Linked DNA regions of Lepisosteus oculatus. The protein of the gene in region 1 interacts with the protein of each later gene in a pairwise test. Links are inferred from orthologs where the notes say so. Each region holds a gene or a part of one and is shown in the gene's direction. Other genes may lie near its edges. The genes, in order: meox2a, shfl, immunoglobulin-like and fibronectin type III domain-containing protein 1 and emerin-like.

Region 1 (7,262 bases):
TGAAAGTTTAACTAAAAAAAAAACAAGTTTAAATTTGACATATAATACTATAGTTTAAAATTATTAATGGCTTATTTTTATGCTGATGGTTCTAAATACATTTGGGATATAAACTCGTGAAAGAATATTGTATTTGCTTTAAAAAGAGTCTCATTCTTAAGAGTCCATTCAATGTTAAAACAGCAACAATTTTAAACCCTTACATATATTAGAAAAGAATACCATATTGTCTATATAACATACTGTACTGTATATTATAATGACATTTAGGAATGGGGGATAAGACATTTGTTATTTTCTGATTTTTTTATTGCCGTTTTTTGATCGTTAATAAAAATAAGTAATATAATATTTAAAAAGGTAATAGCATATAAAGAGATATTATTAATAGCATTATTAATATTAATATTATTAATAGCATATAAGAGATTCCTCCTCTTTTGTTTGGTAATTTTATTATTGCTTTCAGTATGTGCGTACCTTTTTTAAAGGACGTTTACTTTAGAATTGTGATTTTTATTTGAATCACTAGTGAAGTATTTAAATAATTTATTTTTGCCAAAGGACTTATTTTATCTGTCTCCTCAGAGTGATATCCTGAAAAAATACTTAAAAGAGACCGGTGCTTTGATGGCATAAGGAGAATGGAAACTTTCTGAATTTAGTTTATTTTACACTGCTTTTCATCTAATGTTTACAAATGGTAATTAAAATGCCCTGAGAACTTCACAAGCAAGTATTAAAAGCACATTAGACACTAAAAGAAGGGCAAACAGAAACAACTGTAAAAGCCCATCTACAATAGGGCTCATTTTGTCATTAAAGAAAAATAAGATAGTTCTAAGCTATTAAAATAAGAGTAACCACTGTATTTCCTCATTCAATTATGCAAGTATGCAGTCACAAATCTCAAATAGGTATTATTTAAAAAAAAACAAGATATTTTCTGTGGAAGTCCTTTGTAAAAAACTGTCCTCTTTTACCTATGCACATAATCTGGGACCATGAAAACAAATAAGAAAACAATACCTGTCATGTACCTACAGTATCATTGTGCTAGGAATTAATATGTATCCTAGGTAAAAAGGTTAAAATTGTTTGCTGAATTATCTGAATCATAAAATATATAAAGCCAGTTGTATTCCTTCATTTGTCATTGTGCTGTTGCTGACTCCTGTCGTACATCAGAAATGCACATAACTCATTAAAGCTTTCTCACCCATCAAGTCACAAGTTATTTCAGAAAACAATTTCATTTCAAAGTGTATTTTATAGGAGACGGAAGCTTTTCATGAACTCGTATAACTGAATTGTTAAAAAAGCCACCCATTATGTTATATACAGAAAGCCGCATAGAGCCCTTTCTGCTTGAATCTCAGAAGTGTCTCTGTAAAGCAGCACTTCAAATGAATTGAAATAGCACCACTTCAAGAGGAAGCACAAAAATACATTTGGAATTGGTGTGGTTTATTTCGGTTCTTGTTTTTTTGCAATAGAAATGTTCAACAGAAAGTGTTTTTGAACTGCCTATTTGTATTGTGTTCTACACAGTAATATAATCATTCATAAAATGTATAAACTATAATTATGCATAAAATGTCTTATACTTTTACAAGTTTAAAAGTAAAGTTTGAAGTGTGAACTGGTTCTTAATACTTATTATTTTCTGCTTGAATTTAAACGCCTGCTGAATATACAGTAGTCCAAATATGCTGGATTGGCATTCATTGACAATCTGAAATTTGTAGAAGAAAATTTACAGTAAATAAAAAATACACTTAGTTACAATTGAGCAAACAGTACCTTTATATAAGATGGGCTTTTTTGGGGGGCAGTTGAGCTTTTAAAAAATGAAATGCACAGCTGGTGCATCAGCTAATGCAATTAAAACGATCAGCTTTAAATACAGGATGTTTTGTTTACAAAGAACGTATCATACAGACTGTAACTCATGTTCTTCAAATTGTTATCACTCTCGCCACATCCTCCCTTATCAAACTGCACACCCAGCAGGCACAGCTGACGGACAGAAGCAGGTTTTCAGGGATGGTGCAATCTGAACAACCTCTAACACTCGGAGCCTGTCAGTGTGTGATGCGGGAGTTATCTAACCTACTATACTGTAACTGAAGAAACATACTCAAAAACATCACAATGAAAATCCTGCAAGAACGGGTTGCTAAAAAAATGTTAATACTCACAAACCCATAACCAGTGCTTTCTTCTTCACATATAACACTTACAAGAGAAATCACTAAAGCTTCAGGGGTAACCACGAGCCAGCAAGAGAAAGTTTAATGCAAGAACATTTCTGATATGCCAAAGAACCCTGGTGAGCTGGATGCTGAAAGAATAAAACCACATGTGCATTAATATGGGACGAATGACTAAATAAACATATAACTTTACGTCGGGACTAATTGCCCTAATTTGTAACGTAAACACACAGTTTTTAACTCACCAGCGTGTCTTGAATGTGGTGTTTCTGCACAGTTTCAGACAACTGGTGGAGCAATAATGAGAAAGTCAATTCTTCAAGGTCTGCAAAAGTAATTTCCCCCCCAAAAGTATTTAATTTCCTTTCTCAAGGAAGCTTCATAAATGTGGTACAACCAAACGATTTGCCTATAGAACTTTAATGGGAGTGCAGTGGCCACGTACTGTATATACAGTACTCATCCATTTGAGGAACATATGCAGATGTGTAGGAGAAGAAAGAAGCCCAATTTAACATAATGTATTACACCACCACCCCATTTTCTAAAAGACTTTTTAAAATGAATATCAACCATTTTAACAGTAGCTTGTGTGGTGTCCAATTTTAAATTTATTGTAAAGGAAATAGCCAGTGTTTTACAGCTTTAAATTTAAAATTTTAATTTAAAAATACAGATAACCTTTCAATAGATGATAACAACGTAATTAAAAAAATATATATATATCTATTTAACTTGATTTCAAGATATGGTACACATATCTCTTAACAGCAACTTAACTTTTGTCACTTTTTAAGACATGTTAAATTATCACTGCACACATCTTTGGAGGATGTAATCTCCCTGACTCGTTGACAGCTTGACCCGAGAAGCAGTCGGGATTCACATCTGGATTCACGTCACAGAGCTCTTGTAACTGTGAGCAAGGTACTTCACGGGAACTGTTTCTGTAAAATAACCAGCTGTATCCAGTGGGTGCAAATAGCCATAAGAAAAAAAAAAAGCATCAAGCAAACTAAATAACTACTGTAGGGTGCTTTTGGGGGAATAACCCCAATCTTCTTGAACTGGTGCAGGTACTGTATCATAAATGTCCATTATTTTCTCTCAAATGCAGATTGAAATGTCACTACTTTCATATTAAGACAGTAATCTACTCTGTAAACTGAATAAACAATTCAATATACTGTAAGATGTTGTAATGTGTTCTAAATATATTCACTTTATAATATTCATTTTTCATGTAGAAAATCCAATTTGTGTTGTATTTCATTTAGAATTTATAATAATGTTTTAAAAAAGATGCGAGAAGAAGAAATACTAACTCACATCATCATCACACTGAATAATAACAAAATTAACACACTATACTAACGAGTAAGAATCAGATCTAATGCCTGTAATAACAGGTTTAAGTGCAGTAGGAAAGATGTCACAAACTGCATTGGAAATACTTAGAACACTGCAAAAGTCTAATAGCAGTTGTTGTAAAAAAAAACACTTTTTACTTAAAACCACAAAAGTATTAGCACATTAATGAACTCTTGCGCTGCATTTTCATCTCACACTCTGACGCAATGGTTAAAAGAAAAAAAAAGTGCTACCGGGGTCAAGTAGCCTGTGTCCAAAATAAATTGCATGCTTTTCTAAGGCATAACCATTTTAATATTGCAGATTTATTGTAAGTTGCTTTTTGGAGGCAGATCATATGCATGTGGTCAGTACTGAGTCTCTGACCCAGCCTCCAGCTCACATTACACACTATTTATAACATCCCCTCCACTTTCTCCCCCCTTAAAGCCCTTCCTTGGAACCACCTTCCACTGGCTTCAGCCTCCCTTTCTGTCATCTGAGAATCTCTTCAGCGGCTTATCTTGGGCTCTGTGTTTATCCAAAGCAGCCTGGCAACTGTCGTGAATGATCTGGATTATCTGAGGAGCTCCCTTTTTTGCAGAAAAAAAAGTTTGCCTCTGTCTTTTTCAGGGGGAGAAAAAAAAGTTAGTTGAGTATATGAGGTGAAAACTAAAAAGGGGTGGCGTTATTGGGATCTTTGTGTTGCTTTTTTTTCCCGGTTTCTCGTTCTTTTCCTCTCTGGAACCTCACGTTTGCATGACATGGATCACACGCTGTTCGGCTGCCTGCGCAGCCCTCATGCCCCCGCGCAGGGCTTGCACCCTGCCTTCTCGCAGTCCTCCCTGGCCCTCCACGGAAGAACGGACCACGTTTCTTACCCTGACCTGTCCACCTCCTCGCCCTCCTGCATCATAGCTGGATATTCCAACGATGAGGGCCTGTTCGCCAGCCAGCATCACAGAGGGCACCACCACCACCAGCAGCACCACCACCACCACCACCAGCAGCAGCAGCAGCAGCATCATCACCCCTCCAGCTGGCACATTCCACAGATGCCCTCTCCTCCCGCTGCCACCCGGCACAGCCTCTGCCTGCAGCCCCCGGACTCCGCCGCCACAGATCTGGGGCCCAGCCCCCCGAACCTGTGCGCGAGCACACCCAGCCTGGGCAGCACCACCCCCACGGGGGCATCCTGCGCACCTGGGGACTTCGGCAGGCAGGCGCTGTCTCCCGCAGAGGCAGAGAAAAGGAGCAGTAAAAGGAAAAGCCATGGCTCAGGTAAGACTGGGGGGGCCGCCGTCCTCGCCTCTCCTCACCCCCCGACCTGCTCGTTCCCTATGTGGGAACGCACGCGCGCGCTTCGGGGCTCGCCCTGCGGGAGCCAGAGAGTTAAAGAGTATCTGCTGCGGGGAAAGCTCACTGCTGGCATTCAGAATCTCAGGCAAAGTTTCGAGCCTGTCTATTTCAGCTGCATACTGAAGGCTGAGCTCCGCCACTCGTATTGCAAATGCGCAGTCGTTTTGTGGAAAATATTCTCATTTATGGATTCCCAGGGCTATTGAAAACATTATACAAAAATGTTGTTTCCCTGTGGGGGAATAATACAATATGTCCATCTCTCAATGACGAGATTGTTAACTGAGTTTTGACAGAACATGGAGCCTTGCGGGGCTCAATTTGAAAGAATAAAAAGTGTAGTGTAGTGAGAGGTGTAAGGACCTGTAATGGCTGCTCACACACTGTCCTAAGAAGATCTGTAAGGAGTAGTATAAAATATGTACAGTTTGTAATATGTTAGTTTAATTTAAAGAATAGATTTCAGCAGGCAGGTATGATACAAGATTTGGAATACTATCATGCCTGCATGTCTTAGAAATGTTGGCAGGCACCTTGATTCTGTTCTTTTGAACTGAACTTTTAGCTGTTGGTAAGAGTACGTAAAAGATCCTTTCATTGGCTTGTTTCAAGGAGCAGGTACTGTACTTTTTTTCAGCATTTAGTTAGTTTGCAAGTGAACCACTTTGTTGACACTTTCACGTAAAATATTTGATTTCAGATTCATTTTGAGGCACGTTAACACGGAAAATGATGAGGAGTTGTAAAACCTTCTCCGAAAATGTAAAATTTAACACCTGAACATCTTGGGCCTCCTTTAAATTTTTTTCCGACATCTGTGTGTAATGGCTCATACCGCGTCAGGCTGAAAAGACTGAAACTTGAAAGAGACTAAGCATCTGAGGCAATCGGATAATTATTTATGTTTACAGAGATAACTATAGAATTATTCACAAATATTCGAAAGAATTTTGGTATTTAGTATTTTAAATAAGATAAAATTCACATTACCAAAACATTTAGGATTTTTCACATGATAATGCTGATTATTAAAGTCCACAGTTATATTTTATAAATACTGTAGATTTCTAATCAGGTTAACTACGCAAGGGTGTGTTCCCAAGTTTTTACAGGTAATTCAATTATTTTTAATTTGAAATACGATCATGAAATGATGGGCAAAGTGCTTGATACATGTTTTCCTTGCATTTTGCAGTTGAACGTTTAATTTAAATCAAATAGATTAAAATCTGATACACATAATAAAAAAAGGCTGATAAAATCTCACTGATAGAAAGGATAATATGTACTCAATTATATGCTTTATATCATAGAAATATTCCTGGATTGAATTGGAAAAAATCTATGGCACTGCAGCCCAAACATAAGGGTTATAAAAGTTTTCAGTGCATCTCGGAAAACTATTTTAACAGAAACAGAAGCTCCAATAATGTTTACTATTTCCATCAGACCTGTAAAATTTACACTTTTGTCTGTCATTAGTTAACCTGAACAAAATGCCCCCCAAAAGCATCCATTCCATACAGTATGTACTTCTCTACTGAAGAAAAATTGTAAAATTGTAAACTTACAATTATTCAGTTATGTACATTTAACTTGTCTGGGATACTGAAATAAAGAGGAGATTTTTACACTCTCCAGTTTTACTACTAGAGCAGAATAACAAATAGTGTTACCTTGTTAAATAGGATTTATTGTGAACTGTATAATACACAAACATTTTAAAGCAATGTTGTCCTAAATATTTTAACATAGCGCATTTAATGAAAGAATCACAAATTATATTCTGAATTGTACTGCTCATTTTTGTCTCAATAGATTAAGAAAACAGTTGGGATTAAAAAAAAAATCTTTGTAAAAACCCCAGGCATCAAATTCAGCACGTTCCATGTCCGCTACAGTGACAAGATAGTCTGACTTCAAAGTCAGCACTTCCTTTCAATGTTATAAATAATGTCACTTAGTGATAGTTAAAATGTAGGAAAACTGTTCAAATTTGTCATCTCCGGCATTAGCATCTGATAATGAACTTTACTAGGTGTAAAATAGGAAACAAAAGATTAATACCTGTACATAGGACTGTAATTGTGAAATTTTCAAACACGGAAGAGCTTATCTCAAATATTTCATACTTCTATGAAAATAAATGTATACATTTAAATGGAAGATCAAACTTTAATCAATGCTATTGCAACCCTCTAGCCATAATAGAGTCACGACATACTGTAATAACTCTTGGTTTAAACTAGGATTTCATTTTGGACAAATTACTTTTTACTGAATGTCATTTTATTGCAGACTCTTAATTGATGCACTGAATGTTTTTGTTTCATGAAA
Region 2 (8,119 bases), on another chromosome or scaffold:
CTGGGGTTGGAGAGCAGAGGCCCCGCACTCACCTGATGTTGAATTTGAGGGCCTGCACCGCCAGGCTCTCGCAGAAACCCTCCACCGCGAACTTGGAGGCGGAGTAAACGTCGTTGAAGAGAAGACCTGGGGCCCCCGGGGGAAGATGGGTTCGGATGAGAGGATAAGAAAGAGAGACGAGGAGAGAAAATTAGCTGTGCCCCTGGAGGGCTGCAGGAAGTCACAGGGCAGTTCCCAGACAGCTGATGTTGAATCTTCCGAAAAGGCCTCTTCTGAAGGAATACCAGTCACATGAAAATGGATCTTCCCCTTTTGTGCTCTGAATACTCTCATTCTCAAAGGCCTTTTATCGTCTGTGTATGGCCCTAGTGTTTCCCCAGGTTTCAAGGCAAGCACATCCATTTCATCACAGTATGCAAATGGGCCCACATGCCAGTCATACAATGCATAGCCTGGTGGGAAAAGCACCAAGGCAGCAGACCGGCTACACTGGTTACAGCCATAGTCAAGCTACAGGTCATGCCTGCCTGGGTTCTCCAGCATCAAGCTCTACAAGCTCATCAAGGTTAGCCCGAGGACCAACTTCCCTGTTGTGGAAATAATGGGCGCAGGCCACTGAGTGTTTCCCCACGAGTCCACTAGGGGGCGAATTCCTAATATTTTCACCCATGAGAAGGTAAATGTCAATTTCCTACCAATTATATGAAAGAAGCATGGACCCGCCCCCCCCTTTCCACCCCCAGCTGCCCACCCTGGATGCCCATGACGCTGCTCATCACCACGATGTGCCCGTCCTGACGCCTCTTCATGTCCGGCAGCACCTCCCTCACCAGGCGCGCCAGCCCGAAGAAGTTGGTGTCGAACAGCCGCTGCATGGCGCCGATGCTCTGGCACTCCAGCGGGCCGATCATGCCCACGCCCGCGTTGTTCACTGAGGAGAGACGCCAAGATGCCAGGGCGGCACGCACACGCACAGTAGGAGGAAATGATCGTATATCCTGTTTCAACACCACTCTGCAGGCCCGCGGGGCAAGAAGTGGTTCTACAAACTCATCACAGTGTGCCAGTCACTTCTGACTTTTTTCTCGGCTTTTTTATGTGAGAGACGCACCTCTGTGCTTCTGGAATGAAACGTACTGTAGGAAAACCGTCATTCCTGACAAGAGTTTAAACCAGTTAGGGGCTAGCGTTTACAGCTGCAGGGGACGGGGTTCCCAGAGCCCTGCTCCAGGCCAGCACACTGCTGCAGCTGTGGATCCTGAAGAATTACATTAAGACAAAGCAGATGGCATATTTCTTGCTTTTGAGCTCAACAACTTCTGCCTGGCACAAGGCCCACGTAAGGCTGTGCGCCTGTAAGTCTGTCTCACCCAGGATGTCCACCTGGCGGGAGGGGATGCTGTCCACACAGCTCCTGATGGAGTCCTCGCTGCAGGCGTCCAGCTCCTTGATCTCCAGGGTCCGGTTCAGGGCGCTCCCTGCCGCCTGCTCCAGCGGGCCTCTGCGGTCCAGATCCCTCATGGTGGCCACCACTGCCAGACGGGGGACTATGCATCAGCAAAGGCCTCCCTTACACAACTTTTACCCCCATAGCTTTTTTTTTACTGTGTGTTATTCCATGTGTAGGAATACAGCTTCTATACCGTCAGACAATAATGATCATGATACTTGAGGTGCCTCTGACCTTTGAACCTCTTCAGCTCATCCTTGGCCAGACGTACGGCCACAGCTAGCCCAATCCCCGAGGAGCAGCCTGTTACCAGCACGGTCTTGCATGCCATGGCGCCGCCCTGCTGGATGCCTATGCTACAACAGGTAAAAACACATGCCCTTTTTTTTTGTCATGATATAAATGGAAACCACGTGCTTATCAATGTTAAGTAGGCCAGGCCCCGTAAGAAAGGTATGACTTTTTTAGCACAGCACACATGATCTCGGTACAGTTCTTACTTCTAGACTCACTTGATCACTGCACATTTATCTCCAGCAACTCAACAACAATAGCTAATAAATACTGCCTATGCAGGAGTACTGTACCTCCAGCTGTAGGGAGACATTTATAATGCAATCAAGGATAATGCTAAAAATAAAGGCTGGTACAAAAAACCTTTGGTATGCAGATCACACTGATGAAAACTAACAAGCTAAAGTCCAAAACGCGTGCAGTGTGTGCAGTGCCTGTCACCGTCACATACTCACTGGGACTGCAACCCCTGTTCCTGCTTCCTCTGCAGGGTCTGGTCCGGGAAAGGAAGCTACCGGCTATCAGCGCCCCTCCTCATCCTCCAGAAAAGCAGGAGTCTCTTCCTGGAGAGCCCGGGACGGACAGCGTGCCCCCTGTGACCGGGTCACGGGGAATCGAACTGTCCAGGGAAACACAGGGCTCTATTGAGTTTCCTCCCTGTCACATGCGCACACACACACACGGACCAGTGGAGCAGCCTGATCTGGCACTAAGCCTTTAATCCTCTTTGTCCCGTCGCAGCATGGCGCGACGGAGATCCCTATGGTTACCCAGAAGGTCTTTAACCCTTTCAGGGAAGGCTGGCCTTACCGGCTCGTCTCCCGCCCTGAGGCCCGGCAACACAACTCTTAATTCCTTCCGTGAAAAGGAAGCGCTTTGTCTGCAGTGGCCTCACATTCATTAGTCACCCCCCCTTCTCCCCTTCCTGGAGGTGCCCATCGGCCCCATGAATTCTCAGCCTCCTACCAGTGGCAGCTCAGGGGAGCTGTGTGCAGGAGCTGCTGCAGTAAGAAGATGCAGAAATGGCTTTGCACACGCAGCACGCGTGTCAGGAATTCACTGTCATGGGTTTCTGTAGAGTCGCTATTGCAGAACTACCCAAGACCTGCGTTTCAGCTTCATAACACGGTTTCACCGACGTGTGTGCAGTACAGGTACCCTCTGCGAAGCAGTGTCTGTGCTCTCGTGTTGCTGCAGAGGCACACACAGAGTGGGGAGGGACACTGTGCAGCCCCAGCCCAGTGACTTAATGCCCAATCAGTCAATCAGTCCTGGAGCGACATCTTGTCACAGAGCACTGATTCCGATTTCTATCGCATTTGAAAATATACAGGTTGGCCCCCCCCTCCTCCAGGCTGCCGGCTTGTGGCACCTTGAGCCATCGGAAAGCAGGGGCAATCCCTGGATGTCAGGGGCTGGGATCCTGCTTCTCGGCCGACCTGGAGACCTCTGGCCCAGTGACGTGAGTCAGGGGGTCAGCTGCGTCAGCAGGGCACCCAGGAGAGTGTGAGGGAGCAGGGAAGGCCGAGCTGGCGCCCCCCGCGCTTCAGAGGGATCGCTGCCGCTCCGGGGAGGAGGCACGCTTGGCGCGGCGGGGGAAACGAAATTACCTGAAATCGCTCACCACCCGGAGCGCCGATCTCCTCAGCCGGGGTTCGACTGCCCCTACCTGGAAGACACCCGCAAAGTCGTCACTTAACAGTTCAGCTGCAGGGAACTGCAGACGCTGCTTGGTCAGGTGTGTGTGTGTGTCTGTGTGTGGCTTAAGGTACAGTTTGGGTGGGAAAGAGGGCAAAATACAATGAGCATCTTCTTTTCACCAACTTGCACACGACTCAGGCACACCAGCGTGTCTTTATCTGCGATTGGGAAAACACTGAAGACATTCTGGACTTGTTGCAGCATAATCACAAAGTATTCGATATTATTGAGTTTCCTCCTTGACGCAGGATCGTGAAACGCGTTATTAAATCTTTATTTCAACATCGTATTTCAAAAACTCTCACATCCCTCTGGAAGCAGTCCTTTTTCCCTCATCCCAATAAAGACGTTAAGTAGCAGTAAAGCTGGCGTCCATATTGATTGCTGAAGCAAATTAGAAGCCGCTAATAGGCGTCAACGAAAATAACAGTGAATAACAGTACTGCCCTTACAGCGTCTATCACACTGGCAGATCATTTAAAATACAGATCATTCTGTTAGCTGTACAAGATGCCTCGTTACAACCTGGAGTCCTGGCGTAAAATAACAAGAGTTAATCTAGGTAACGCTGTATTTTTGTATTGCGGTATTACAGATTGTTTCAACAGGGAATAAACTCTGGGACTGCTAAACTAAACGGTGGTACGCATTTACTGTAATACACACGCACAGTACCCATAATTCAGGTAAATTACCTAGGTTTTAACAAATTACACCTCCGTTTACAGAGATCTAAAACTGCAGGGGCTTAAACACAATTTCACCCACCCCCACTCAAAAAAGAGAGATGCTGCTGCACTGTAAGCGCCGTTGTAACTGAGCTCGCCACAGCCAGTTCGCGTAAAAGAAGAATTTTGCCAGAACAGCAAAGTCTTTACTTCCAACCTGCGTTCTGCAAGCTCACCAGAAACCGTCCATCGCTGATCGTTTATGCAAAAACTTTCCCCGTTTTGCGCTACAGAAGTTTACACGTCTGTACCCACATCGACAGCGCATCACCAGACTGGTCCTGGCTACTGTATGAACACATCAAGGCTGGCCGGAGGGTGGAGGGTGGAGAGGGGGGCTCCGAGCGAGGGCGGAGGAAACGCCGTGGGTCGCTCGGCGCGGTGCTTTCTGGGGATTGTAGTTTAATCGGTTGCGACTTCTCTCTTTTTTTACGGCTTTGTGCAGGTTTGCTTTCATTATTTCATTAATCGGGAGCTCGTTTTGTTAAAATAAAAATTCTGCGGTCCATAGTTTAGAATGACTACAAGTAAAAGTTCAAATATTGAACGTACTTTTGTAATTAAATTAGAACTCAGGGATCCGATATTTTATAAAAAAATCAGTTATAAATAAATGTCACAGTACAAATGCCAGGGTCAAGACATGAACCTGAGATGTTTACGTAGGATACAACTCCACGTTTTACCTACAGCCACGACTGGGCTTTTAAAAACTTTCTTTAAACAGAAAGACGGCGGTGTGCAGAGTCAGCATTGCGCTGTTTGCTGAGATGAAAGCACCAGAGTCGCATGGCCTCTGTAAACAGAAGAAAAAAAAAGTTAGACCCGAGCAGTCTTTGCTTTAGTCTTTACTTCGCTCGTACGAGGGAGGTATGTGGTTCGAGCTGACAGTTCATGCACGGTCCTGGCGAAATGGCGCCGCCTAGTGGCGGTAGCCGCGCTTGCGCCAGCGAGCAGTGTGAAACCGAAAGTAGGTGTGAAGGAGACGCTCGGGGCTGCAGGGCAGCGGCCGCTTCTGCAGGAGCAGGAACGCGAGCGAGTGCAAACGCAGGCCCAGCTGTTAATCGTAGCAACACCAGTCCGCAGCTGCTGCAGTGCGGCCGTGCGCGTCCGCCACACACAGTCGGCTTCAACCCGAGCCATGGCTCGCAGGCTTCAGGATGAGGTGGTGGAGGTAGGGCAGTTGGAACAATTATTTTTCCGCTTTGCTGTTCATGATTTCTTCTGCTGCATTGTGGTTTTTTTATTATTATTTCGTGGTTTGCGGACCAGTGCTTCTCGACGGCGCTTCCCGCGGTTACTTAAACCCACAGCGCAGTTCAACGGCTTATTCTGCGACTAAACTTCGGGTTTTGCCACAGCGCCACCCCTCCTGCTTGCTCGGGGGGAATCGGCGCCTGGCTGACTCCGGCAGCGTCGGCTTTCTAACCGGATACGATTGGTGTCTGTTAGGCACGTTTTTACGGAAAAAGGCTGGGAGGCCACGGTGTAACTTCACTTTGAACTCGTATAGTTCCCGTCCCCCGTTTTTTATTAAACGTAAAAAAAAACTTCTCCCCACCTGTCTCTATCTGGTGTAAGACCGTCAGTCTACCGATCTGTGCGACTGTCTGTTATTTCCAAACCTGTCTCTCGGTCCGTCTAGGTTTTAGAGGAGGCTGAAAAGCGGTGACACGCAAAGAAAAAAAACACTTGTCCGAACTTCATACCGAAGTGTCACATCGTTAAACCGCCCCTCTCAGTCCATCTCCAGAGGCGCACACGCACTGACCCCAGTTCGGGTCACCGCGCTTGTGGGCGCACGTCAGATACCCCGGGCGCCTGTCTGTTACGAGGACTGTATCCCTCGGGCTGAGCTGCACAGGGAATAGGCAGGCCGGACACCCCGGCAGGGCCCGGGTCTGTCGCCTGGCAACACCGGCACCCCTGGACGGCTGTAGTGTAGTCATGGCTACTGTAGGTCTCCCTGGGGGGTGGGGGTAAGGAAATGACCCTCCACCTTTTATTTTTTGCTTTTTTTTCTTTTGCTGTTGCAAGCGGTGTGGAGTGCACTGGGGGAGAGAGGCGAGAGGTGGCCGGTAGCTGAGACACGGTTGTCCGGGTTTTTCCTTTGCGTTTGCGTTTTCAAAGTGTGCTGGCAAAGGTGTCCTTATGAAGCCCTGCCCTGCCAAAATGGGAGGTGTTAGCCTGGGGGTCAGTGTCCCGGACGTCTGAGAAACAGGCACCGTCCCTGTGTGGTGTCCGCGCGGACACAGACTCCTGGCGCACAGCAGTTTGACCCATTTCAGGATTCACCAGCTCTGAGGGTATGATTGGATGTGGGGATGTTGATATTGGTAACTCCTCGTCTTTGTGCGCCGTTCCCCTCCAAGTAAGGCAGCTGTGGACATCCAGCAGGCAGGAGCTGGTAAAACCTGGACTGGACCAGGGCTGCCGTGACTCGGGTCCCCACAGGCTGAGCACCGCCTCCGTTAGGTACTTGTTAAGCTTGTCAGTGTGTGGATGGAAGGAGCGGAGTCTGTCTCTGCAGGAGTCACAGTCGGGTCCCGGGACAGAGCGCCACCGCCGCAGTGTCTGTAGAGCGAGCGACTCCACTGCAGGAAGAGGAGAGTTCATGAAGTAACAGTCCCAGCTTCCTCCTCTCTTTCCCTCGCTCCTCACTTATCTCACTCTGCCTCTCTCTCCTGCCTCCTCGCTCCTCCTCTCACCTCTCTCCTGTCTCCTCCTGTCTGCTCCTCTCTCTGACTCCCCGGAGTGACTCTGTGTGTTCCTCCTTGTCCACCTCAAGCTGGAGAAGAGTGTCCGGCGCCTGCGAGAGCAGTTCTACGGCAAGGTCTCTATCGAGGTTGCCACGGTGCTGATGCGTCGCTATGGTAACAACCACCAGCTGGTCGCCATGGATATCATCCTGATGAAGGACAGAGGTTAGGTGACAGTGTGGCTGAAGGAGGTGGCGGGGGGGGGGGGGGGGTTTACCTGTGACACATTGGGTTTTTCAACACAAGCAGCTCGCATTCCCTACACCAGGGGGCGCACAGCTCTGGTCTTGGAGGGTCACCGGTCCTTCTTGGCTTAGCTGGATGAGGTGAACGTCTCCCCCCAAGTGACCAGCAAGACCTCCAGGACCAGAATCCCACTCCACCTGCCCTACACGGTCGCCCCCAATCGTGACCCGCTGTAGCGAAGCTTGGTGACTCCGGCCCCTGCAGTGGTGCACATGATGAGTCCGCCCTGGGAGAGGCCCACATGCAGCAAAAAGATCTGAGACGCACAGGAAGACGGCGTGAAAATCCGAGAATGTGCCGTGCTGGTGACCTGTCGCCAGCAAGGGTGGTTGAGAAAGCCAGCGAATCGCCCGCCCTGAGACGGAAGGCACAGGGATTTGGTTTTGCAGTGGAATTGCACACTGTAAAGTCAGGCTTTTTAGTTCCTGGCCTTCCTTTCCCTCAAAACAAGAGTACTGGTCCCCCCTGGTGGCAGACAGGAGAGATGAGGTCACAGGGATTGTGGCGGGTCCGCACAGGCAGTCGCTGGAGCCGCTGGCGGTGCAGCTGGATCCAGGGGGCTGTGGCCTGGGAGCTGGCGTGGGCGTGGTGCTCCCGGCCCGCCGGGTCTGCTGGCCCCCTAGGTCTGGCCAGGGCCTCTGTGTGCGGTCAGCCGGGTGGACGGGCAGCTCATCATGGTCTCTCCCTTCTGCGCAGGGCTGGACGAAGAGGACATGATGTGCTTGAAGAGAGACGCGGTGGTCAGGGTAAAGCTCCTTCCCAGAGTGCACTGGGGCTGCCTGGAGGAAGGGAGGGGGGAGAGTAGAAGCATGGAGGGGCAGGACAGGGGTAGAGAGAGGGAGGAAAGGGGCAAGAGAGGACACGGAAAAAATAGAGAAGGAAGAAGGGGAATGCTGGTGTTCAGCAGAGCTGAAACGTGTGTGTGTGTGTGTGTGTGGGGG
Region 3 (7,222 bases), on another chromosome or scaffold:
ACTTGGCTTGCTGCAACTGCAACCCTCACGAGGAAAAGAGTGAGAATGCATGGATGGAGATTTTAGATGTTGGAACACAACAAACAAACCAAAGCAAATAACCGGTAAAAGCAAATAATCTAAATGAGAACTAGGAGGATGTTTCTTGTGACATGGATTTACAGTATATTTGTGTTTTTTGTAATTTTTTTTGAGAATTTTCTAATAAATATTTTAGGATTATTGTTTCAGATATTTTTGTGAGGTAAAAGGGACAATCCAAGGCAAATCCAAGAACTTTGCTGGGGATTTCCTTAAGGCCAACATACACCCTTAATGTGTTTTATCAATCTGGTAAGAAACATCAACATGGTTTCTTTTAAGGAAATTCTGTACTGGACTTTCATGGATTATCAAAGTCTTTAATGGACCCTATTTGTGTTGTTTTAACTGATTTAGTGCTGGATTGACCAAACAGGCCCTGTTAAAAGGGTCTTAAATTTTCCACTGTAAAATTGCAGGGATTTTTACAGTATAAATTTTCGGAGCAATGAGGAAGTACCTGTCACTGTCAATCACCTAACCAATTGGAGGAAGTAAATTGGTTAGGTGATACTTAAAACCAGGAGGCAGACTTCCAAGGGGCTTCCTTTCAGGTGACACTTCCTTTGTTAGCTGGGAAGTTAGAGTAGCTTCTGTTATCAGCCGCACTTAAGGGAGAAATAATTGAGAAACAACTAATAAGCCAGTGGATGTGAGGTGTTTTAGGAATATTTTATTATATATCATTATAAGAAGGATATTATAGTTTATTTTTTATGGAAGAGTTTTGAAGAGAGTCTTATGTATATATGTAGGTAATCATCTGCCTAGATTCTTATAGAATCTATTAATGTATCTCAAGTGCAGTTAGACTCCTAATAATACATTTTCTGTGTTATTTTGTTATTTCCTCACACTCCAGAACAAAAGAGCATTGTTTTTTTTTCTTCAACTGTGTTTTTTGTATACTTTCCCTAAGACCTTTCTGTTCAAAGATTTTGATATGCCACCATCTCTAAGTCATCCACAAAATATATAATATTTAAAGTAAAAGTGAAAACTGAGACTCTCCTTTTTTCTGTTATCTCTGCATAGATTATATCTAGGGATATACACAATATTAGTCTTGTCAGTGAGGGCCACAACCTTCCTCCTTTAAATGCTAATTTGCTAGCTGGTGCTGTGACACATAAAACCTATAAAATCAACAGTACAGTATATGCCTGTAGAAGAAATGAATAAATATATTATTTAAAAAAATGATTTATGATTTATCAAAGTGGGGGTCTGAAAGAAAAAAAAGTGCAATATTATCTGTAGTTCTAGTATCTCTATTAATAAGTTTGTGTTTTCCAATTTTGAGTAGTCAGTGAATGTCAACTCCTTTTCCTTACAAAAGCATTCAAATTCTTCCTATGGTGTACTATTTTGTGAAAACACAAACTGATGTATCACATGTTTTTTATTTTAATATTTTATTCAAATTCCAAATGCTCAATCCGAAAACTTCTAAGGATACGATACAGTAGGTTACAAAAAATGTCAGCAGAAATTAAAGATAAAGAAATAAATATGCTTTTTACATGAGTATTCAAACCCTTGAACTCAGTATTTGCTGGAAGCACCTTTGGCTCAATTACTGCCATTAGTCTTTTTGGTTAAGTCTCTACCAACTCTTCACATAGAACCGATGCAATGTTTGCCCAATTTTCTGTTCAGATGTGCTCAAGCTGGGTTGCTTGGGGATCACTTAGGGACAGTAATTCTTTTCATTCCTCAAATTCTCAATAGAATTCAGGTCAGTACCTGGACTGAGCCTTTCTAGGACATTTACTTTCTCATGCATAAGCCACTACACTAGCCAGTAGTGTAACGTTTGCCATGTGCTTTAGGCCATTCTGTTGCTGAAAGGTGCATTTTTTCTCAGTTTTAGGTTAGAAGTAAATTTAATAGTGCTTTACTCTATGTTCCCATCAGTCTTGACAAACATCCTAGTCTCAGCTGATGAGAAGCAAAATTACAACATTATTCTAATTCTGCCATCACAACACTTGACCATAGGAGTGGTGTTGACTGAGTGATGCTCTGTGTTAGATTTTGTAATTCTTTACATTGTGACCAAAATTATATATATAAAGTATTTTTTGTATTGTTTAACCACAAAACCCTTTGCAATGTTTGCATGGCATGCTTTGGAGTTTTGTTGCAAAACCCATGTGGAATTTTGGGTTTATGTGAAATTTCCATGCAACCCCCTTTTGTAGAATGACTTGGATATTGATATACCATCTTAGTGACTGAACTCTCTGTCAAAGTCACCATTGGTGTCGTTGTGGCATCCTTAATCAGTTTCCTCCTTGCCTGGCTGCTCAGTTTGATGGGACAGCCTGATCATTGAACCATGCTCAACAAAATATTAAGGATCTTTCTATCCCCTGACCAACTTTATCCCTGTGCTGTTTTGAAAACTCCTTGTTTGTCATGGTTTAATCTTTGTTTGAAATTCACTGCGTATTAATTCTGGAATCATGTCACTCCTGAATAATACGAAGGTCACTGTATAAGTGGGCCAGCAGCCTTATCACCCTGCAACTAACAACTGATAACCCACCGAAGCGAAGCAGGTGTGAGCCTCTTCAGAACCTGAATGAGAGACCTCCTGTGAAAAAAAGTGGGAAAAGGTTTTCCTGGGAAAAGTTTGATGCTGGAAGATGTTGGTGGGACCAGTAGGGAGCGTGCACCCCGCAGCCTGTGTGGGTCCTAATGCCCCAGTATAGTAACGGGGACACTATACTGTAAATAGGAGCTGTGCTTCACATGAGACATAAAATCAAGGTCACGACTCTCTGTGGTCAAATCTCAGGGAGTTTCTCGAAAAAACTAGGGGTGTTACCCAGGTGCCCTGGCCAAATTTCCCATTAGCTTTTACCAATTATGGCCTTCTAAAAATCCCCATCTATGAACTGGCTTCATCACTCCATTCTCCTCCCCATCGATAGATGATGTGCAGTGAGTGAACTGGCGCACTATGGCTGCAGTTGCATCATTCAGGTGGGGCTCCACATTGGTGGTGGAGGGGAATCCCCATTACATGTTATTTGCTTTAAGTGGAGTGTCTAGAAAATCACTATATAAGGTATTATTATTATTATTATTATTATTATTATTATTATTATTATTATTATTATTATTATTATTATTATTATTATTTTCATTTCTGACTGCAACAAAGACCTTAAAATTAATTTTTGATAGCTTGGATAGGTGTGTTTAACTGCAAGTTGAAAAAGGGTCTTGCAGAACACAGCAGTTTCTACGGTTACTGTCTGTAGTTTGAGAAGTGAATTGATTACGGTTATTCTGCTGCGCCTAAACATCTTCTGCTGAGCAGGAAGAGAGGATAAATCCAGGTAAAAGTAATGTACTTTGATCTCTGTCCTCCACTCTGTCCTCTACTGTTCACTTGAATAACTTAATACATTTTAAATGCTTTTTTGTCCTGGAGACTGGAACTGCTTTTTTTTTTTAAAGAAAAGTACATTGGAGATTTTGCAGTCACAAAGGAAAGTACTGTATATATTTTAGTATTAATTTCTATTTTCATTTTGTTACATGTCATTCCATTTCAAAGACAGAATGTGTTCCCCTTGCTACAGTATGTTCATCTTCTAGCTCGTCTCAGACTGCACTACTCCCATATGTACAATATTTGGATCTCTGACTCAACTCTGCCACTCCAAACAGCTGATAAAACAGAACCCTAGACAGAAACCTGCCTGCTGCTGGCATTTACAAGAACCTGCCGAAATTTAATACTTTTAATTGGTTTTGAATCGCCATTGACCATTCATTTAGCTGGTGCTAAACCAGCTCATCAGACAGTTAATCAATAGAAAAAAAGTATTTGAGGTTAAGAAAAATGTAACCCTGGGGTTCACCTTTAAAAACAGCCATGAGTGTGATAGACCATCAAAGGGCACTCTGAGTTCTTGGAAGTTAAAAAACCCAGGAATCATTCTCTTGTAATTACCCTCCCTCCCCTCACCCCCCTCAGCCCCCTCACCTCTCCTAAATACGAACAGACAGACCTCTCTTCGCCACTCATTGGGTCAAAGCACGAGGGAGTTTGCTGGAGAACCACACATATTCTTACTGGATTTATTAACTAGTAGAACAGTGAGGCAGCACACCAATATCAGACACTGTCAGAAGTCTAGGTCGTAGTGGAGCTGAGCTGAAGTGAGCTGACAGCACTGAAGACAGGGGGCAGGTAAGGCTATATACATATTATCTGCTCCCATATAGTGTACTGTATATGTCTGTAACATACTGTATACGTAATGCAATATACAATGCAATATACAATATACATAGCAAATTTAATATATAAATATTTATCTGACATACAACATATCAATATATGTTATTACATTGTTTATAATGCATATACAGTAAGTACGTTATTGTACTTGTTTCTTGCTTACTAGTTTTCAAGGAACAGTATGTTTGTGTGTGAATTTCTAGTCTTTTTATTTCAGTTTGTTTGCAAAAACTGCTAGTCTAATAGTTTTTTCACTAGTGCTTCAAGTATTCATGAAAGAATTGTTTTGTCCAATTTTTATATACAGTAAGTATACAGAACCTAAGCATATAAAACACTATAAATGTTATCATAATGCACTATTACTGCCTATATTATTGGCTGGATGTTTTTTTTTGTTAGTGCCATCATTAAATTAAAAACAAAATCCTTTTAAGCTTTGAATGTTAATTTTGACTTCATATCAAAGACAACTAAATGACAAATTCAGCTGTAAACTGTTAACTACTATGTTAACAACATACTACAGCACATTTAAAAAAAATGCTTCTAGGTTTGTGAAAGTGCAACATCACTGGACCAGCAAAGTGTAAAATGCAAAGTGACCTGGCATACAGTGTTATATCTCTTATATCTCTTTACCGATTTCAGGAAATCATTTAAATGATTACTGTATACTGAAACAGACAATTCTATCATAGAAATTATCATAGAGCATGCTTGTATGCCTGAATAGTATTACACCCATTGATGTACACAGCTGATGAGGTGACTGGAAACATCACACAGTATCATTTTGAGGAGATGTGTTTCTCAGTTTTAATGTCAGAGCTGTGGTCCTCCAGAGCTGGATGGTGACTTTAGTGAGGTGGCATGATGTCATTGCTATTGAGTTGTAAAACGACTGCTAACTATAGAAGGAAGAGCCTGCTGAGTACAGCCTGAGTGTCACGAGAGTGAGAAGATTCCTTGGAGAAGACAGACAAAATTAGAAAGCACAGATCAGAGCAATCTTCATTTTGTGAAACAAGTAAAATGTTCATATTAAGCTAATCTCATGGGTACTTTCAAATGTTTATTTTAGTGATGCACAATATATTAGAATTAATTTTTCTGCTTTTGGAATCGTTATACACAAAATATTTTAAAATCTATCATATGGGGAAGGGGCTTTGGTAAAATTCACTCAGATTTTTCTAAAAATAAGGAATGTGTTATTTTTTCCAGGCTGATAATATATAATTATTTTAGTTTTTACCAGTTTTACCAGTTTACCAGTTTTTACAAAGACATAATGTTTTGTAGCTTGTGTCACATAGATTTAATTGTTGATAAAAAGCCTATGTAAAAAGCTCTAGAAATTTATCACATTAACATTTTAGTTGCAAGAATAACAACACACCATACAGTATTCACCCCAAGACCACAAAATGCATTTGAATTGTTGCTTTCCACTCAAATCTTGAGACCAAGGCTAAGGTTTTGCTAAGTCTTTGAAAGCTGCAGTCCTCTGGTTTCTTTGTCACTTGAACTCTTGACACCGAAACCTGTAAAAGCTGGAACTCAGTACCTGAAGAAACATTGGTATTGTGGACCATGAATGGTCATTTAGGAAAAATGTTTTACATAAAAGAGGGTACTCTCTTTATTCACCACTGAAGTGTAGTACCCATTTAGATAACATACTGTACTGTACAATACATCAGCTTCTGTGCCCCACTACTCAGCAGATCAAGTAGAAAAGTGAGAAATTGCTTCACTTAACTGGATTAAGAGGGAGTTGCAGGTAAGCAAGTTTATGAAATGCAAGGGGATAAATAAAACGATAGCAATTTCAGATTTCCACCCAATCAAACTGCATTCCTTTCATCAGAACGAATCACCCTATTAAAGTGCTCAATGTCTGTGAGTTGTTTTACATGCAGCTTATAAAACACAATGTAATTACTGGTATGCACTGTCAAACAAGTTAAGAAGATTTTGCTTAACAAAATTATGGTGTTTAAATCTTTGATATAGCGAAGGCAAGCCCTAGTCTTTTGGGGGCCCTAGACAAGATCTTGGAAAGGGGCCACTCCAGAACACGATTTGCACATACAGTACACTACTATTATTAGCTCCTGACACAACCTTATTTTACTTTAATACAAGAAAACTTGTATTAATTAACTAGCTTTGAAGAACACATGATAAATAACTAACAAACAAGATATAGAAATTGTATATTATCCTTTAGGAGGACAATGTCAATTACCAGTTGCAACTACTGTACAAGATTTCAATTTTAAATCTTTAAACAACATGTACTGTACATAATTTGCAATGCAAGTAAAAAGTCACTTGTAATGTTTCATTACTTGTTAGATATAATGACGATTAATAAAATTGATCGTCACAACATTTACTACTTTCCTAAATTAAATGTTCAGCATTATAACATTCGATGTAGCAGCATTAAGTGTATTAGCAGCTGAAACCATATTGTCACCTTACAGTTAAGATGAGACTCATTTGCTACATTGACAGTAACATAAACACCTGAAGAAGGCTCCACGGCCAAATCTTGTGTTTTCTTCTCTTTTCAGCATGGAATAAACCTATTACTTGTTCCTTTGCAGCCTACGTATGCTGATGCAGCTACCCACCATCAACTACTACAACATAAACTACTACACTTATATTCACAACTAATGATTATACATTATACAACTAACAGTATTTAACAGCCTAGATTAGAACAGCAGTAACAGCAAAGAACCACTGGAGGGAATTTTTTGCTCATATACAGTATGAAGGTACAGATTAATGATGTATTTCCCATTAAGGGAGCCCCCTGACAGGCCTGGGGTCCTAGGCAGTTGCCTAGTTTACCTACGAGTA
Region 4 (7,173 bases), on another chromosome or scaffold:
GCACCTGGGTAACCGCCTGTACAACGTGAGCTACCAGTTGAAAGAGAAAGGCGACTACATTCTGGTTGTGAAATGGGGTGATGAGCATATTCCTGGCAGCCCTTTCCACATCTCTGTGCCCTAAAGTCTCCTCCTGCCCCCTTTCCCTCCCTGCTTACAGAGGATAATGCACACTGTGCCCTTAACCTCTCCTCCTCCCATTATTTTTGAAAAGCAAGCACCTTCACTCTAAATCGAAATCATGACCTTCTATTCTTGTTGCAGCAAAGCCTAAACAAAACCAGAAGTTTGTTCTTTATGCTTAGTGCTATGGATTTTTTTTTTTGATGGTTACCTGTTTTTGGATTTATGCCCAGGATGGTAGTATAGCTGCTAATTTGTCTTAATAGAATAGCTAACCCTGTTGTAGGCACTATTCTAGTTCTGAAGTGACTGTCCATCCTACATTTATAGACCTTTTCCTGAGTGTTCAGAATCGAACTGGATTCCCACTGGAGGAAAAGGCAAGTCAGATTTTGAACCTCTAGGACACTTAACTAATATTACAACTGTTAACAGAATCGTCGTCAAAGTACTCTTTACCTTAGAGACCGTCTGCAGATGTTAAAGGGAATAGTCTAAATTCTTAAAGATATTGCTAAATTAAAATTGAGAGAATAGAAGATGTCAATGAGAGTAATGTACAGTAGTATGTTAGGAGTTAGGTGGTTATATGGTGGTTGAAGACTTGACACTTTTCCAGTTTGATGCTTTTTGTGAACAAACATGGTTGTGATATGCAACAAAAGGTCACTGTCACTTTCCCCTTACACTTTTTGTACTTTTTGTCCAGAATATTCAATGTCTTTTGAAAGAAAATGTACTTTTGAGGAAATAAGCCTTTAAGAATGTTAGACTGTTACAGTATTTTGATACACAAAGTTGTCTTAAATTTTTACTGTTTACCATTAAACTTGAAAATGGCTTATTGGTTTTCGTTTCTTTTATTTTGTGGCGGAGCTTAAACAAGATGGTATTCTGAAAGATTTGAATGTGCAGATTTTTCTGGCTATCCAATGAGGAAGCTGGATTTTAATATACTCTGCCTTTTCAGATTGAATCTTGTTTATAATGCCAGTTCAATCAGATTTTTTTTATTCAAAATTGATTTGTCATTCTGTAACTTTGGTATTTGAGAAATAAGCCCAGCTGAAAAGTCTTTCCCAAATTCCTTTACTGTTTTCCATGGTTGCTTCCATCCACAGTTCTGAGCTCCTGCAAAGGATCTCAATTTTAACAGTGCTCTAATGTTCTACATTTTAAAACCCATGTCAAACTTTAAAAAGCACAGAAGCTAATTTTCAGAATGTTGCGACAATGGTGTACCAACAGTTACCACTGCCTACAAGGAATGATCTTCAATTTCTTCCATTGAAAACTTCAGATTTAAGGTTATTTATACACTTGAGTGTCTGTCGGCTTCTATGATGGTCTTAACTGTGCAAAAGGGGGGACAAAGCTTTTGCTTTCGAGTTATCCTGATTATCTTTCTCATTTCTTAACTTGCACATCAGCCGTTTTTAGCCTTCCAAATGATCAGTTGTTCTTTAATAAAATTATGCTTTAATACAAGCTTGTGTCCAAGTCTGTTTTTTTTAATTAGGGCTATAAGAGCCCAGTTTTGGCTGCATTTCAAATTTTGGTTTGTAGAGTTCTGATGGATACTTATGGGGGTGGTATGAATTCAGTGCTGCCCTCTATTGCAATATACTGTAGATCCTTAATGTAGATGGTTCTATGTTCAGATTGCTAATATGACACCATTTAGTTATTCTGCACACAGGGATAAAGATGATCCTGGAATTTTTGTTAATACCTTAAACACTTATTTTCCCTGGGAATCGGTTTGCCATTTAAAGCTTTAAATATGGGTTACATAAACAGGCTTTCTACTTTATTTGCAGGTTGTAGCTTACACATCATAGGATTGTATAATGTATTGCTCAAAGAGGGGCAGGTATTGTAACTAGCAGTAAGTCGGTTACATTAGCTTAGTCTTCACATGCACATGTACTCATTTTTAATTAAAAAAAGGGTTAAATTTTCCTCTTCATGCATCCTTAATCGGTGTTAATTAAAGGATCTTTGAAGTCTGGATCTTTCTTCTAAACGTTGTGCCTTCACTGCTGTGGATTTGATAATGCCAAGTCTTAATCACTGCATAAGGTCTTCAACCTTGGTACTGGAGAACCAATCCAAGTTGTTTACTAGGCCACCAGTTTTTATAAATTTGACATTTGAGAGCTATGGATGAATCTTGCAAGTAATCTGTACTATTAAGTGAACTTGGGTGCTTGAGTGGTGTAAAGTACTTGGATATTAATTAAGGAATTGGAAGTTTTAAAAATCACCTGTTTAATTGATCAGAATGAGTTTGTTCTGTAGCTTGAGATATGGCTAATTTAAATTTTAAAGGTGACCTATGCTATCTGATGGATTGGGGCTCTCTAGGACCAGGTATAATGGGTACCTTAATATGAATTTGAACACTGGTCTCAAACCCAATTCCTCAAGGACCTACCATCTTCTGGTCTCACACACAGGTGAAGGTAGCTGTAGCTTTAATGTAAATGGTACACCAAATTTTAGACAATTGCACACAATCTAATCTACTTCATATTTGCACATGTAAATACTTAGAATATGCACAGCACAGTTCTGTAATCTCCAGGTGAACATTGCCCTCAACCTTCTTCACATATGTGCTCAGCCAGTGCTTACCTATACATCTTTGGGAATATTTTATAAATTCTTTAGGGAATATGTTTAGGAATGTGAGTGTAGTTGAGGCACAGTGCATGACTGCTCCTTTTGACACCAGCTTTTGCTGTTGGGACTACCTGCTGCTACAATACTCACCCTGTTAAGATAATGAATGTGAGACCTTAACCAGCCATGCAGAAACTTCACATGGAAAGAAGTATGACAAGGCCATATTTAATGAATGCCAAAACTGTTTTTTTTCCCTCTGGGTGTGAACATTTCTCTTTCCTTTTAATTACTCCCCCCTTTAAGTATTGGAGATCCCATTCTTTGCATTTGTTGTATTTCTGAATGTTTGGGACACCCAACAGGAACATTCAACCACCCAGAGGTACTGAACTCAGATTGGTAGTGGTCTGTAGGCATTAGCTGTTTTTACTGTTACCCTAATGTGGGTAAAGACTAAAAATACACAACTGGTACAAATCCGATGGGTATGAAAATAACTTGAATACTAATAATTCAGGAGATCTGTCAGTGTTGATTATGTGGGTGTAGTGAGCCTGTACATAGGTGCTTGGTACAGTATCTCCCATCAATCTACTGAATTGTTAAAGCATATGAATTAAGCTCTTACAATTCAGTTTATGCAAGTAATGTGTTATGGGTTGTAAAACTTCACAATCATGTTATTTGCTTGAACAGCAAATAAGGCATACAGTAAAATGGGTTTCAGGTATTTTGTGAGACCTTCACCTTGGATCCTCAGAATTTGTACTTTTAGTCATGTAAATTAACCAATGTTTATATCATTATGAGCTTATCACTGACATCCATAAGGGCCACTAAACCACAAACCAGAAAACAAGGTGAAACTCCAATGGGGATGTACAGTACTTTTAAAAGTAAGAACAGTAGTCACACTTTTACCCAAACGGTTGTGTGCGTATGAAACATGCTGAACAGCTATGTTGCGGAAGCCGATACCTTGGTAGTGTTCGTACAGTAGGTGTATTTTTTTCGTTCAAGCTAAATCTAATGATAAACACACTGGGTATATTATTTTTTTCTTACCTATGCAGTGAGTTGGAGTTCCAGACAGAGGGCGTATTGAAGTAGCTCAGCAGTGGATTGCACCAGATTTGAAATACCAAAAAAAGCGGGAATACAGTACATCGGTTTTACAACCAACGCCCTAGTTTCTTCACCCAATTCACAGCTGGAGGAGAAAAAAAAAAGCTCTGGAAATTTTCGTTTTTCCTTATTAGGGTAACAACGAATTGCACTTCACTCTATTGTAACAGGCGAGGGCGCCAGTGAGACGCTCCTCGTTGACGCAGCAAACTGTGGGCCGCAATCACATGCAGTCGAGAGACGTTCACCATTGGAGCTACGGAGAAAGAGCAGCTTCCGATACAGAGCTTTCGTTTTTCAAAAAGGAGAGGTGACATTACTCGGGAATTCGCTGTTACAGAAAGAGTAGTTATTTGCTTATTGCTCTTTGTCCTGAAGGTAAGATGCCTTTTTTTCAAATAAGATCCTTTAGCCTTGTTTCTCTGGGGAGCAGAGAGAGGTGTGTGCTGCGAGAAACGTGTCCCTGCATTAGTTTAATAGAAATCAATTGCCGTTTGCTTCGCGGACCTCCCATTTTATTTTTTTAAATATGAACAACGCCCTGTCGCTGTAACGTAGTTAGCTGGATTTGCAACACTTATGAGCTGACGTATATTTCTGAATATATTTCTACTTGGTAAATCACAAGTTAAGTTTTGGAGTTAGCGTATTATTGAGGCACATGGCGTCTTTGCGAAGTGATGCCCTGTATTCTAGCCATGAATGTCCTCAAACGAAGTCGTTTTGATTTTATGGGCAGTCGCTTGTGTAAAAGAAGTGGTCTCATTCTAAAGTTTTTTGTCCTTGTGCATACGATGCGTGAATTGAATGCACTTTGTTTTGCTTGTTCTGTTATTATTTTACAACATTTCAACAACTATTCATACAGTGTGTGTTGTTTTGTACTGTATATGTATAGGTTTTATTTCGTAATCTGTAATCCCCATTCATTTTTTCTTAACGATCACCACGAAAGGTTGGTATATCATTTTGTCCTAAAACTAACTTTTAGTTTTGACACCTTTAAAGTTAAAGATTTAACTCGTTTGTCTCCTTTTTCGTCTGGAACACACTAAAAGAACTGTTGTTTGAATCACATGAACACATGAAATTATCTACTGCTGCTTAAATCGTACAAACATGGCTCATTTTAGTTATTGTACTATATACTAGTAATGATGATATATCCATTCACGGGGGGAATGCTCATTGTTTAATTTTAGTTTGTTACAATACATTGTTTATATAAACCTCGGACCTTAGAGAAAGATAAAACTGAAGTTCACATTACCATAGCTCAACCATTTAGTTGAAGTGAAACTGGAAAGAGATTGTTGATGAAAATATTATTCAACAATATAGCCTATAGGGATTAGATTGTGGAAATAATCTTCCGACACATATACCTTACATGGAAATTATGAGAAGAGCAGGCGATATCGTGTGGACATGAATTTATAAAGCTTCGGTTTTGGGATTGTAGTTCATTCCAGAAACAACCCGTGATTTGTAAAAGCTCCGTTTTCGGATAATCGCAGGTTACACTCTTTCACTGAAAGCAGACTCTTTGGTCTCTCGGAAGAATGTACCAAATTACAAGCAACAACCACAGCCTTACCTGGTTTATTTAAGAGTGAACTTAGTAAGATAATAATAAGATATACAATATTTAGTTAAACTGTGAATGCGTTTTAAACCGATAAGTTGCAGTATTATTTTAAACTGACTGATTCAGACATTGTTTGTCCTGTATATCATGACACATTAAAACTGATGTTGAATCCTTTTTTGCAGTGATGTTATCTTTAAATCTGTGTGTATCTTATTTTTCCAGAGGCTTGAATGTCAAGGCCCATTAAGCAAGAATAATAGTCATTATTGATTATTTTCTAACATGACCACACTGATCCGTGTTACCTATACATTTTAACAGGCTAAATACGGTGAGGTTACAAGGCGGAGATATGGATCTTTTCATTTGCTTTCTCCATAAAACAAGTCATAATTTATTTCCTTTTTTCTTTCTTTTGTTTATCCTGTAAGCAAATCATCAATCATCTTAACCAGAGCCTTGTCAGTACCATACAATAGCCTAAGTCAGGGTTCTCCAAACCAGGTCCTTGAGAGCCCCAATCCAGCAATTGTTGTACTGTAGTTTACTATTAAAGCAATTTCTAAAGATATGAAACAATTCCACTGTGGTCAGTTCAACGGTCAATTTGTGAAACTATGTAGAGTTCATTTATGCCTAGACTTTATGTAGTGTTCAGCCCTGGAGGACTGCAATGCTATTTTTATATTTCCAGGAAAGACTCAGCATTGATGAGTGCATTTCAAACCATGATGAAAGTAAAATGTACACAGCAATGTGTAAAACTTCCTATTTACATTGAAAAAAAATAGAAATTTCCAGGTATGTGCAGCGCTAAGTTCTGCGATTTAGAAAGAGACAACAAAACTTCTGGTGAGGTGAAGTGGCCATATTACATTGTAAAGATGCAGACTATTGAATGCATCTCTTTTAATCCAATAGAAATATTGCTCTCGATTTCCAGATTATTTTGGCGCAAGAATACTACTTGTTAACTGCGTGCAGATCACGTTGGAACAGTTCTGCGCTGAAATGACTGCGGCACAACCTGTAATTAATTGGTCCTACGTTGCATTATATATAGGAAGCATGAAGGTCTGCACCACGTCACAGTTTGTACAAACTCTCTCTCTTGGCCGTGGCAAGACCAGGAGTTTGCTACGAAATGGTGACTTTACAGTACTTTCACAAAGTTCACCATTTTGTGCTTAACTCGGAATTTGTAAAATTTTGCAATACCTTCTATTTGTTCATGTTACTGAGATTTTAAAACCAGTATGAGGAATTGGGACTGCAGTTCTCCTTTAAAAACAGATGACCTATAAGACTACAGGAGCTGGTGTGAGGCTCTCCAAGACTAGGGCTCTAGAGTTCTGGCCTAAAGTCATGTAAATTTAAAGAAGGCCAGCCAGATTATATGCTATATTTGTGTTGGAGGAGAGCACAAGTGGAGCAGACTGAAAATTTGAAGGCAAGAGAGGGAAGCATGAGGAGAACAGACTTGGAAATAAAAAGCAACAGAGTTGGGCGGGAGTAAAGAGCATCTGATCCCTGGGCAGTCTTGTGTGCCCACTGTGCTCTGCCATACAGGAGACCCCAGTGTGACTGACATTCAGCTCATACACTTGGAGGAACAGCAGCTGTTACTGGGTGTGCCCATAAATGCTACACAAAGATGTCTGGGGTATGATTTTGATACGTGGCTTTTTCAAAGTAAGCAATGGGTA

Evidence for each region.
Region 2: the proteins of meox2a (region 1) and shfl interact in binary tests that used the Homo sapiens proteins (3 or more experiments, as listed by UniProt). The two-hybrid records come from large-scale screens. The link is inferred for Lepisosteus oculatus from reciprocal best matches to the Homo sapiens genes MEOX2 and SHFL.
Region 3: the proteins of meox2a (region 1) and immunoglobulin-like and fibronectin type III domain-containing protein 1 interact in binary tests that used the Homo sapiens proteins (3 or more experiments, as listed by UniProt). The two-hybrid records come from large-scale screens. The link is inferred for Lepisosteus oculatus from reciprocal best matches to the Homo sapiens genes MEOX2 and IGFN1.
Region 4: the proteins of meox2a (region 1) and emerin-like interact in binary tests that used the Homo sapiens proteins (3 or more experiments, as listed by UniProt). The two-hybrid records come from large-scale screens. The link is inferred for Lepisosteus oculatus from reciprocal best matches to the Homo sapiens genes MEOX2 and EMD.

Annotation. Positions count from the first base shown.
Region 1 is NC_090705.1:2,550,432-2,557,693, forward strand, and holds the start of meox2a (homeobox protein MOX-2), read left to right. Parts: upstream 1-4,015; 5' UTR 4,016-4,330; coding exon 4,331-4,847; intron 4,848-7,262. UniProt on the Homo sapiens protein: Mesodermal transcription factor that plays a key role in somitogenesis and somitogenesis and limb muscle differentiation. Required during limb development for normal appendicular muscle formation and for the normal regulation of myogenic genes.
Region 2 is NC_090706.1:14,469,712-14,477,830, reverse strand, and holds the start of shfl (shiftless antiviral inhibitor of ribosomal frameshifting protein homolog), read left to right. Parts: upstream 1-5,113; 5' UTR 5,114-5,314; coding exon 5,315-5,347; intron 5,348-5,734; exon of another isoform or gene 5,735-5,839; intron 5,840-5,882; exon of another isoform or gene 5,883-6,882; intron 6,883-6,961; coding exon 6,962-7,097; intron 7,098-7,874; coding exon 7,875-7,924; intron 7,925-8,119. Other genes in the region: retinol dehydrogenase 8, read right to left, coding at 33-126, 752-931, 1,371-1,532, 1,685-1,781.
Region 3 is NC_090700.1:28,478,661-28,485,882, reverse strand, and holds the start of immunoglobulin-like and fibronectin type III domain-containing protein 1, read left to right. Parts: upstream 1-4,134; 5' UTR 4,135-4,291; intron 4,292-7,222.
Region 4 is NC_090697.1:66,887,346-66,894,518, reverse strand, and holds the start of emerin-like, read left to right. Parts: upstream 1-4,098; 5' UTR 4,099-4,254; intron 4,255-7,173. Other genes in the region: flna (filamin-A), read left to right, coding at 1-124. UniProt on the Homo sapiens protein: Stabilizes and promotes the formation of a nuclear actin cortical network. Stimulates actin polymerization in vitro by binding and stabilizing the pointed end of growing filaments. Inhibits beta-catenin activity by preventing its accumulation in the nucleus.